2 linked regions of the Schizosaccharomyces pombe genome follow. The protein of the gene in region 1 interacts with the protein of each later gene in a biochemical or structural test. Each region holds a gene or a part of one and is shown in the gene's direction. Other genes may lie near its edges.

The links.
Region 2: the proteins of mtf1 (region 1) and mcp60 form a complex in vitro, tested with the Schizosaccharomyces pombe proteins (one study listed by BioGRID).

The regions. Positions count from the first base shown.
Region 1 is NC_003424.3:1,808,681-1,812,994, reverse strand, and holds mtf1 (RNA polymerase-specificity factor Mtf1), read left to right. Parts: upstream 1-1,664; 5' UTR 1,665-1,871; coding exon 1,872-2,972; 3' UTR 2,973-3,515; downstream 3,516-4,314. Other genes in the region: dihydrolipoamide dehydrogenase Dld1, read left to right, coding at 1-862; SPOM_SPAC1002.07C (N-acetyltransferase Ats1), read left to right, coding at 3,754-3,829, 4,077-4,195, 4,254-4,288.
Region 2 is NC_003424.3:339,203-344,352, reverse strand, and holds mcp60 (protein Mcp60), read left to right. Parts: upstream 1-2,255; 5' UTR 2,256-2,497; coding exon 2,498-4,246; 3' UTR 4,247-4,587; downstream 4,588-5,150. Other genes in the region: RNA-binding protein Cip2, read left to right, coding at 1-954. UniProt on the Schizosaccharomyces pombe protein: May participate in assembly and/or disassembly of proteins imported into the mitochondrion. HSP60 are ATPases and have affinity for unfolded proteins.

The DNA.
Region 1 (4,314 bases):
TGGTATCATTGGATTGGAGATGGGCAGTGTATGGTCAAGACTTGGTGCAGAGGTTACCGTCGTTGAGTTTTTGCCAGCTGTTGGAGGTCCTATGGATGCAGACATTTCCAAGGCTTTATCTCGTATCATTTCTAAGCAAGGTATCAAATTTAAGACATCTACCAAATTGCTTAGCGCCAAGGTGAATGGTGACAGCGTTGAGGTTGAAATTGAGAATATGAAGAATAACAAGCGTGAAACTTATCAGACTGATGTTTTGTTGGTTGCTATCGGCCGTGTTCCATACACTGAGGGTCTTGGCCTCGATAAGCTTGGAATTTCTATGGATAAAAGCAACAGAGTAATTATGGATAGTGAGTACCGTACTAACATCCCCCATATCCGTGTGATTGGTGACGCTACCCTTGGTCCTATGTTAGCTCACAAGGCAGAAGATGAGGGTATTGCCGCTGTTGAGTATATCGCAAAGGGTCAGGGACATGTTAATTACAACTGTATTCCCGCTGTAATGTACACTCATCCTGAAGTTGCTTGGGTTGGTATTACCGAACAAAAGGCCAAAGAAAGCGGTATTAAGTATAGAATTGGCACTTTCCCCTTTTCCGCCAATTCCCGTGCCAAGACCAATATGGATGCCGATGGTCTTGTTAAAGTCATTGTAGATGCGGAAACCGACCGTTTACTTGGAGTACACATGATTGGCCCTATGGCTGGTGAATTGATTGGTGAAGCAACTCTCGCTCTTGAATATGGAGCTAGTGCTGAAGATGTCGCTCGTGTTTGCCATGCCCATCCCACTTTGAGTGAGGCTACTAAGGAAGCAATGATGGCTGCCTGGTGTGGAAAGAGTATTCACTTTTAGAGGGGACTCTACTAGTGAGCCATTCAAGATTCATATAAACGATTAAAGCTTATGATTGATAAGAATAAATTTGAATTGCTTCGAATTTTTGTTTATGTTTCTGACGAATTCTAGTATGTCTAGTATGTTTCAATTGATACTTTCCGTTTACTTTTTCATTTATATTCGCCTATTAGGCTTTCTATAGTTCTGGCACATTGTGTTGCGATTATTTATTCCAATAATGAACTTATTATGGATTACATGTTCCATATGATAGTAAAAGAGAACTAAGAATTTGTTTGATATATACGTTTCACCGTTTTTTATGGAATACATCCTAAACTTATATCTTGCAAGTAAATTAAAGTTATGAACTGAATTTAGCTCCCAATAATTACAATTATCCAGTTCTTACGGTTGTGACAGATATCATCATTAAAGCGGTAGTTTCACAATCCAATTGTTGCGCTATAACTTGGAGATTGAATATTTTTTTTTTCAATTGCTATTACCATTAATTAATCATCATAGACAGCTCGCATGACTGGTTCAAAAAGTAAAAAATTGTATTATTCTACTTTGCGTTGAGTAGTTAACAGTTTTCCTTACTTGAAAAACATCGTTCTTTTCCAGTTAATTCAACATTACACGTTTATTCAAAGTTTCTATAACTTCTATAGTTTTGTTTACTTGGAAATACCGTATTTGACCAGGATACATAATTCGTATTGCGTAAAATTGATGGGCTTCGTTAATGTTTATGAATGAATTAACTAAAGCCGAGCATTAAATAAACTTGCACATGGTGATGTTTTAGACTGAACAATGCGCATATGAATGTGTTGTTTAACCACATTTAAATGAACAGAAAAAGAAAGCAAGCGTAAAGGTGACATCTTTTTTTAAAATTAGAAAAAAAATTAATGTCTTCAATTTTTCGTTATTGAATATATCACAGGTCATTTGACCAATCTTGGACTGTTTATACGAATTATGCAGAAAGTAATCAATTGCTAAAATAATCAATATGAAGCTTCCTAAAATTTTATATGACGCAGCTGCATTTGGAGGACCAAGATCCACGGGGTTTGTTAAGATATTAAACCTAAACGGTCGTTCTTCGTATAAGTCATCGTATCTTGTGAATCAGAATTTGATGGATGAAGCGCTTGTGAAAAGCAATCTGCTTAAGGAATACAACTCGGAGAAAATGACTATTTTAGAAATGGCACCGGGACCGGGAGTGACTACCACTTCGCTGTTCAATTACTTCCAACCTAAAAGTCACGTTGTGCTAGAATCACGGGAAGTTTTTTCCAAACCTTTACAAAAATTGTGTACGCTTTCTGATGGAAGGATTAAGTGGGTGCATCAAGATGGTTATTATTGGCAAACTTACGAAGATGTGTACGTTTCGAAGGTTTTGGATCCTCGTATTCAAACAGAAGAGGAGCAGAAGTTATCACCACATCGCGAACTTTTATTTTTTGCTCATCTTCCTCATGGTTATGCCGGGTTATTATTTGTTTCTCAAATTTTAGACTTTCTCTCGGCAAGGGATTGGCTTGGCATTTTTGGAAGAGTTCGTGTATTGCTATGGTTGCCCTGTTCTCCTACTGTTACTCTTCTTGGAAGTAGGGGATTTTCAAAAAGATCCAAGACATCAGTTTTCCGAGAGGCCTTTACAGACTCTCGTGTATTAGCTGCCTCCGAGTCAACATTGCAAAAATTATGTATGGGGTATAGTAAAGAGGCCAAGGAGAATTATCAAATTTCTCCAAATCCTTTATTAGTTTCACCCACGCCAATTACTAGTGAACCGCATAAAGAGGACCTTACTTTGGTTGAAATGTGCTCCAAACCACAAGATAAACAATTGTCTATTCCAGTGTTTGAAAGCATTGTTAGGATACTGTTGACATGTAAAGCAACATCACTTTCAAAATCCATTTATTATTTAGGCCCAGGTGCGGAAACTCTATTACCCTCCTTCACCCAATGTGGGATTAACATCGATATGCCCGTTGGACTATTGAGTGCAGCCGACTTTCTTACCATTTCAAAAATTATACAAAAATATCCTTTCAAACATCATTTACATTTGGGTACAATAATTGAAGATTCATAAAATTTACAGAAAATTGGGGGAAACAAACGTATTGATTGTTTTTGTTCATACACGCATTTCTTTGCATCCAGTAATTTTGGTTTTTTAAAACCACTCTCTTTTTTATCATTTCTCCACTTCATGTTCTACTCATTGCGTTCTGAGGCCACTGTATTTCATTTATTTGCCTGTGCCATATTCGCTACATCATTAAAGGATTTGTTTGCGTTGAGACACGCGTTCATTCTAATCACCATATTTAAAATAACTTATGCTTGCTTAATCTATTACTAATTTATTCAATTTAAGTGGATAGCTTCCGTTCAGGCTTGTTTTACGTTCTTTTATGTCTCTCATAGTCTCAGGTATCATTTTTTTTTTGGAAAGTGCATAAATGCAATATGGATTTAACTGAGCTATTTTAAATGGAAGTTTACATCTTTCAACTTTTTTAGATGTTAATTAATACAAATACCATAACTTCGAAAAACTATTATAATATTCTTTATTATACCATGCTGTTTATTAAATTGTTTACTGAATTAATGTTTCATTATTATGAGTTGCTTTAGCTTTCAAGGTAGTATTTAATAATCGTTCAGTAGAAAAGCGGATTATTCATTCCCAAACATAAAAAGGTAAATGGAACATACTAGATTAGTTTCTACCCGTATTTGGCATTCCAAAAATAATATGATGAGATCTCATCAGTTTAAAGTGCGCTAGACAATAAACTACCATTAGGCCACGCATATTATTTACTGTTAGCACTGCACACCAAGTAAACCAATTAATTCAAAACATGGGTTCAGTTCGCATTCGCTCTGTCATTAAAGAAGATCTTCCGACCGTTTATCAGTTTATTAAAGAATTGGCAGGTAAGCGCCGTTATGACCAAGAGGACGAAGTCGTGTAGATTCTATTAAAAGGCTAGAGCTTTTGCCAGTATCCCAGACTCACAGGGTCTGATTCTCTTATTGAATTGGAGATTACTCTTAAGCTTTTTATATGGATTTGAGAATATATGGTTTTCGTCAGCAGGGTCGATCTCTACTTCTGTCCGCATGCTATCAGATCAGTTTGTGTTACTATTTAAAAACCGGTTTTAACATTTTGTTTATGAAGAATTTGAAAAATGTGAAGATCAAGTGGAAGCGACAATTCCGAATTTAGAAGTTGCATTTGGATTTATTGACGAGGTTACTCCTGTGGCATATGGAGTATTCATCGAAGAAAATGATCAGGTTCGTAAAAAAAAGTAAACTTGCTTGATCTTTTTTACTAATCTATAATTGCCATCAGCCCGCAGGAATGGCTATATATTTCCTAAATTTTAGGTAGTGAAAAGTTCCGTTTTGAAATA
Region 2 (5,150 bases), 1.5 Mb from region 1:
CCATACGCTTTTAATTATCATTTTGATAACGGAGTTTTTAGGGGCCTTGCCTTTGCTAATTTCCATTCTCCAGAGGAAGCCAAAACGGTTGTGCAAGTTTTGAATGGCTATGAAATTACTGGTCGTCGTCTTCGTGTTGAATGGAAGCGTCAACTACCGCCTGCGGAGCGTGAACGTGTTGAGCGTGGTAAACAAGAGAAACGCGCTGTAGAAGAACGAAAAAATCAATTGAAATCTCCGTTTTCTGTTGCCAATATAGGTGCTGGCATTGATTTTGATTTGAATGATCCAGCTATACTCAATGTATATTCTCATATCTTGTTATTTTATTATCGCAGCGATAACACTAATGATCTTGTATTTGATTCTTCAACCACCCAGGAAGAACGTCGGGTTGCTGCCTTATTAGCTTCCCGTCTCAATCTCAATCATTCAGTTACTGGTGACGGTGAAGCTAAGCAAGTGGTTATTACCATGCCTAGTACTCATTTTACTCCCGCTAATAATTCGAGTGCTAACCACTCTCCTTTGATGGCCCCAAACGCCAGTACTTTAAATCCTTCTTCTTTAGGTGCTTCCAATTTGAGCCAACCAAGTCTTGCAAATCACTTGAGCTCCTCTGGTTTATTTGACAATGGTCTTTTCTCGTCCGGTGGTCTTTCTAGTAATTTTTCAAGTCTTAGACGACCCGCTCCCTCTATGCATCTTGCGGATAGCATACGTTCTCTCAGAGGACTAAATGATTCTAAAGCCTTTTCCGACATACGTAGTATGCCAGCTACTCCGTTAGAACTTGCTACTCCTTTTGCTAATTTAAATGTTTCCTCTCCACTGGATCGCAATGCGACTAATTCATCAAATACTTTAAACGGTAGTGCGATGAACGATTATTTTGCAAGCCTTACTCCATCAAACACCGGTGCTATTGGATCCAGAACTTTTACAAAGAATTAGTCTTGGATTTTTTGTTTTTCCCTGCTTTTGATTAATCTTGTTTTGGCTATGTCTCGGGTTTTATTAAGTTTCATTTACCTTACGATAATAAGCGCTTTCAAGCAAATTTATACTTTGTACATAAAAACGACGAGTGAAATTATCTCAATGAATTATCCATTTTTACGACCTAGTGTTCAATTGAGGACATGATTTTCATGCTTATATCGTTTACATACTCACTTCGGATGTGCATGTGATCGGGCTCATGCTTTTAAACTATAATGTGATTCTTGTAAAACGAAAAGGATTTAATTTAATAGATGATATTTTTCTCTCTTCAAAGTCACGTTTATGATTATTTTGAGAGGAATAAAATGGAATTTTCTTTTGTGAGATTTTTTTAAACTTTTGTATCGCAAATCCGGTTTGACGATTCGTATACTGGGATACGATGCTTGAGCTATACAGCAAAAGTCTCAAATAAAATTTACGATAACCGATCTTACGTGGGATGTTAATGGTGTTATTTGCAATAATTTGTTGTTTTGATTGTGTTTTGTTCTTATGTGTAGGACCTTTCGTTACTATCAATACCTTTTCAATTTCTATATCTCATATGTTTTGTACGGACCCAGCTTGTTCACGTTAGTGTCACTCGGTTTTTAACTATTACGAATGATGGCTTCATTTTAATGGCTGTTTGGCTAATTGTGCCTAAATTCTTTTCCGTGTTATTGATTTGATAATGTGTTAAAGAATTCAATTTCGATTATGAGAGTTCGGTTGTCATTTGTATGATTTTTTTCGTCAAGATATGATTGCACTATTTTTTTTTTGTTATTATTATTTTTTTTCGCACTGTTTTTAGTGGATACTTGATGATTTTGTCTAAACGTATCTCGTATCTGCTGTATCGTTTAGTATTACTTTTTAAATAAGTATAGAACATTTACGACTTTTTAATTTGATAAATTGAGTTGATCTTTCTTATTTGAATAATCACGAAGAAACGGCACATTGACCATAGTCGAGCACCGCATTTTTTTTAGAGGTTTTAATGACTGTAAATCGACTAAATGAAAACGCTCCCCGTTCTTGCTCTATATGTTTTAATTTTTTAGAAGCCGTTTAGCGATAAACAATGCAATACACTATTTTTCGATATTTTTCTTCAAGAAGCTACCAAACCTATTCTTAAAATTTGGTCGCTTTTCTATTGGCTATTTGCCGGCATGTCAATCTTTATCCCATCAAAGTTCTTTCTAGAATATCAGGCAGTCACAGTATATATAATGTCTATTATAGCTAACTTATCGTCTGCCTAGCCTTGTTTGGAATTTCATTAAGCGGAAAATAGTGAAGAGTATTTCACGTATTTTAAAACCAATAATATATCTAAAAGCTGCAAGCATTTATTTTTGCAGGGACAGCTAGCTGGTTATATTCCTAACGTGTGGGTTGTATTTGCGTTAGATAACTTTACATTTCTTTATATCTCTTTTTGGGTGCATTAAAAAAAACCATTTTTTACAACTTCATTTTATTTCATTAATTAAACATAATGGTGAGCTTCCTTTCTTCCAGTGTATCTCGTCTACCTTTAAGAATTGCTGGTCGTCGAATCCCCGGCAGATTTGCCGTCCCTCAAGTTCGTACATATGCTAAAGACTTAAAATTTGGTGTTGATGCTCGCGCATCTTTACTCACCGGTGTCGATACTCTTGCTCGTGCCGTATCTGTAACTTTGGGACCAAAGGGCCGTAATGTCTTGATTGACCAACCTTTTGGTTCCCCTAAAATCACTAAGGACGGTGTAACTGTCGCCCGTAGTGTAAGTTTGAAAGATAAATTCGAAAACCTTGGTGCAAGACTAGTTCAGGATGTTGCAAGCAAGACTAATGAAGTTGCTGGTGATGGTACCACTACTGCTACTGTTTTAACTCGTGCCATCTTTTCTGAGACTGTTCGTAACGTGGCTGCCGGTTGCAACCCTATGGACCTTCGCCGGGGAATTCAACTTGCTGTTGATAACGTCGTCGAATTTTTGCAAGCCAATAAGCGTGATATTACTACTTCTGAAGAGATTTCCCAAGTCGCTACCATCTCTGCTAACGGTGACACTCATATCGGTGAGCTTCTTGCTAAAGCCATGGAACGTGTTGGTAAAGAAGGCGTTATCACCGTCAAAGAAGGGCGCACAATAAGCGACGAATTAGAGGTTACTGAGGGTATGAAGTTTGATCGTGGTTACATTTCTCCTTACTTTATTACCGATGTCAAATCACAAAAGGTTGAATTTGAAAATCCTCTTATTCTTCTTTCTGAAAAGAAAGTGTCTGCTGTCCAAGACATTCTTCCCTCTTTGGAGCTTGCCGCTCAGCAGCGTCGTCCCTTAGTTATCATCGCAGAGGACGTTGATGGTGAAGCTTTGGCTGCTTGTATCTTAAACAAGCTTCGTGGGCAATTACAAGTTGTTGCTATTAAAGCCCCTGGCTTTGGTGACAACCGTCGTAATATGCTTGGAGATTTAGCCGTCTTGACTGATAGTGCCGTGTTCAATGATGAAATTGATGTTTCCATCGAAAAGGCTCAACCCCATCATTTGGGTAGCTGTGGCTCTGTAACTGTCACCAAGGAAGACACTATCATTATGAAAGGTGCTGGTGACCATGTTAAAGTTAACGACCGTTGTGAACAGATTCGTGGTGTCATGGCCGACCCTAATCTCACTGAATACGAAAAAGAAAAGCTTCAAGAGAGATTGGCCAAATTGAGCGGTGGTATTGCTGTTATTAAGGTTGGAGGCTCCAGTGAAGTTGAAGTCAACGAGAAGAAAGACCGTATTGTTGATGCATTGAATGCTGTTAAGGCTGCTGTTTCCGAGGGTGTTCTCCCAGGTGCTGGTACCTCTTTTGTTAAGGCTAGTCTTCGCTTAGGAGACATTCCTACAAATAACTTTGATCAAAAGCTTGGCGTCGAAATTGTTCGCAAAGCTATCACTCGTCCCGCTCAAACCATTCTTGAAAATGCTGGATTAGAGGGTAACTTGATTGTTGGTAAACTTAAGGAGCTTTATGGCAAGGAATTTAACATCGGTTATGATATTGCTAAGGATCGTTTTGTTGATTTAAATGAAATTGGTGTTTTGGATCCCCTAAAGGTCGTACGTACCGGTTTAGTTGATGCTAGTGGAGTCGCCTCATTAATGGGTACCACCGAATGTGCCATCGTCGATGCTCCTGAAGAGTCCAAGGCCCCTGCTGGTCCTCCCGGAATGGGTGGCATGGGTGGAATGCCCGGTATGATGTAAGGTATCAAAAAAATGCCGACGTGGTTTTTTAAATTTTTACAATTTATTAAAAGCTTATGATTATGATGATTTAAATCCATTCAGAGAAATTGGCTTTAATTTTGCATTATGTTGTTGACCTTCGTAAAATTCTTTAGTTTCAAAACTAGTTAATGGGTCATACTTCTGTTAATGGATACTTATTGTTTTGAAACTTTTCATTCGGCTATTCTCATATGGTTGCTAATTGTACAATCAAACTCCTGATTTTGTTTAATGAACATAATGTTTTACCTTGTGTTTATTACACATTATAATTTCACTCTTTTTACGAATGGTATGACTTTCGACTTAAATACCAAGTTTTCACTTTTGTGTTTTTGTAAGTTCTGAATTGTGTTTACGTAAAGCATCAAGTTTCTTTATATTTCCTATACAGGTTTGTGGTGAGCTTTGAAATGGTTGAAGTATGTGAGAGATAAATGATTTTGAAAATGATGAAAATAACGCGGATGAAATATATGTCCGAGAGCGCAAAAAATGTGTGGATATTTCCGTTGCCTTCCTTCTGATTCAAAATTATTATATAACTTATATATTTTTAGCTGTCGTGCGAGTATCCCTACTATATTCTTTTTAGGGGATCTGTATAGGTCATATAAAGAAAATTAAAATGCATGATATTATGTTATCACTAGTATTGTGGTAAATTGTATTTTCAAAGTTATGATGAGAGGCAATTGTAAGTAATAAAGAAACATTGGTGCGGTGTAAATTTTAAATGAGCCTAGTAGTTGAAGAAAGCTCTCGACGAGCTCATGCCAATTTCACAGCCTTACATGAATTACTCCAGTTTTTGTAACATTTTAAGAAAAAGCGCGCCGTCACTGATGTTGTTGCCGTCTCTTTCACTTTTTTCTATTCT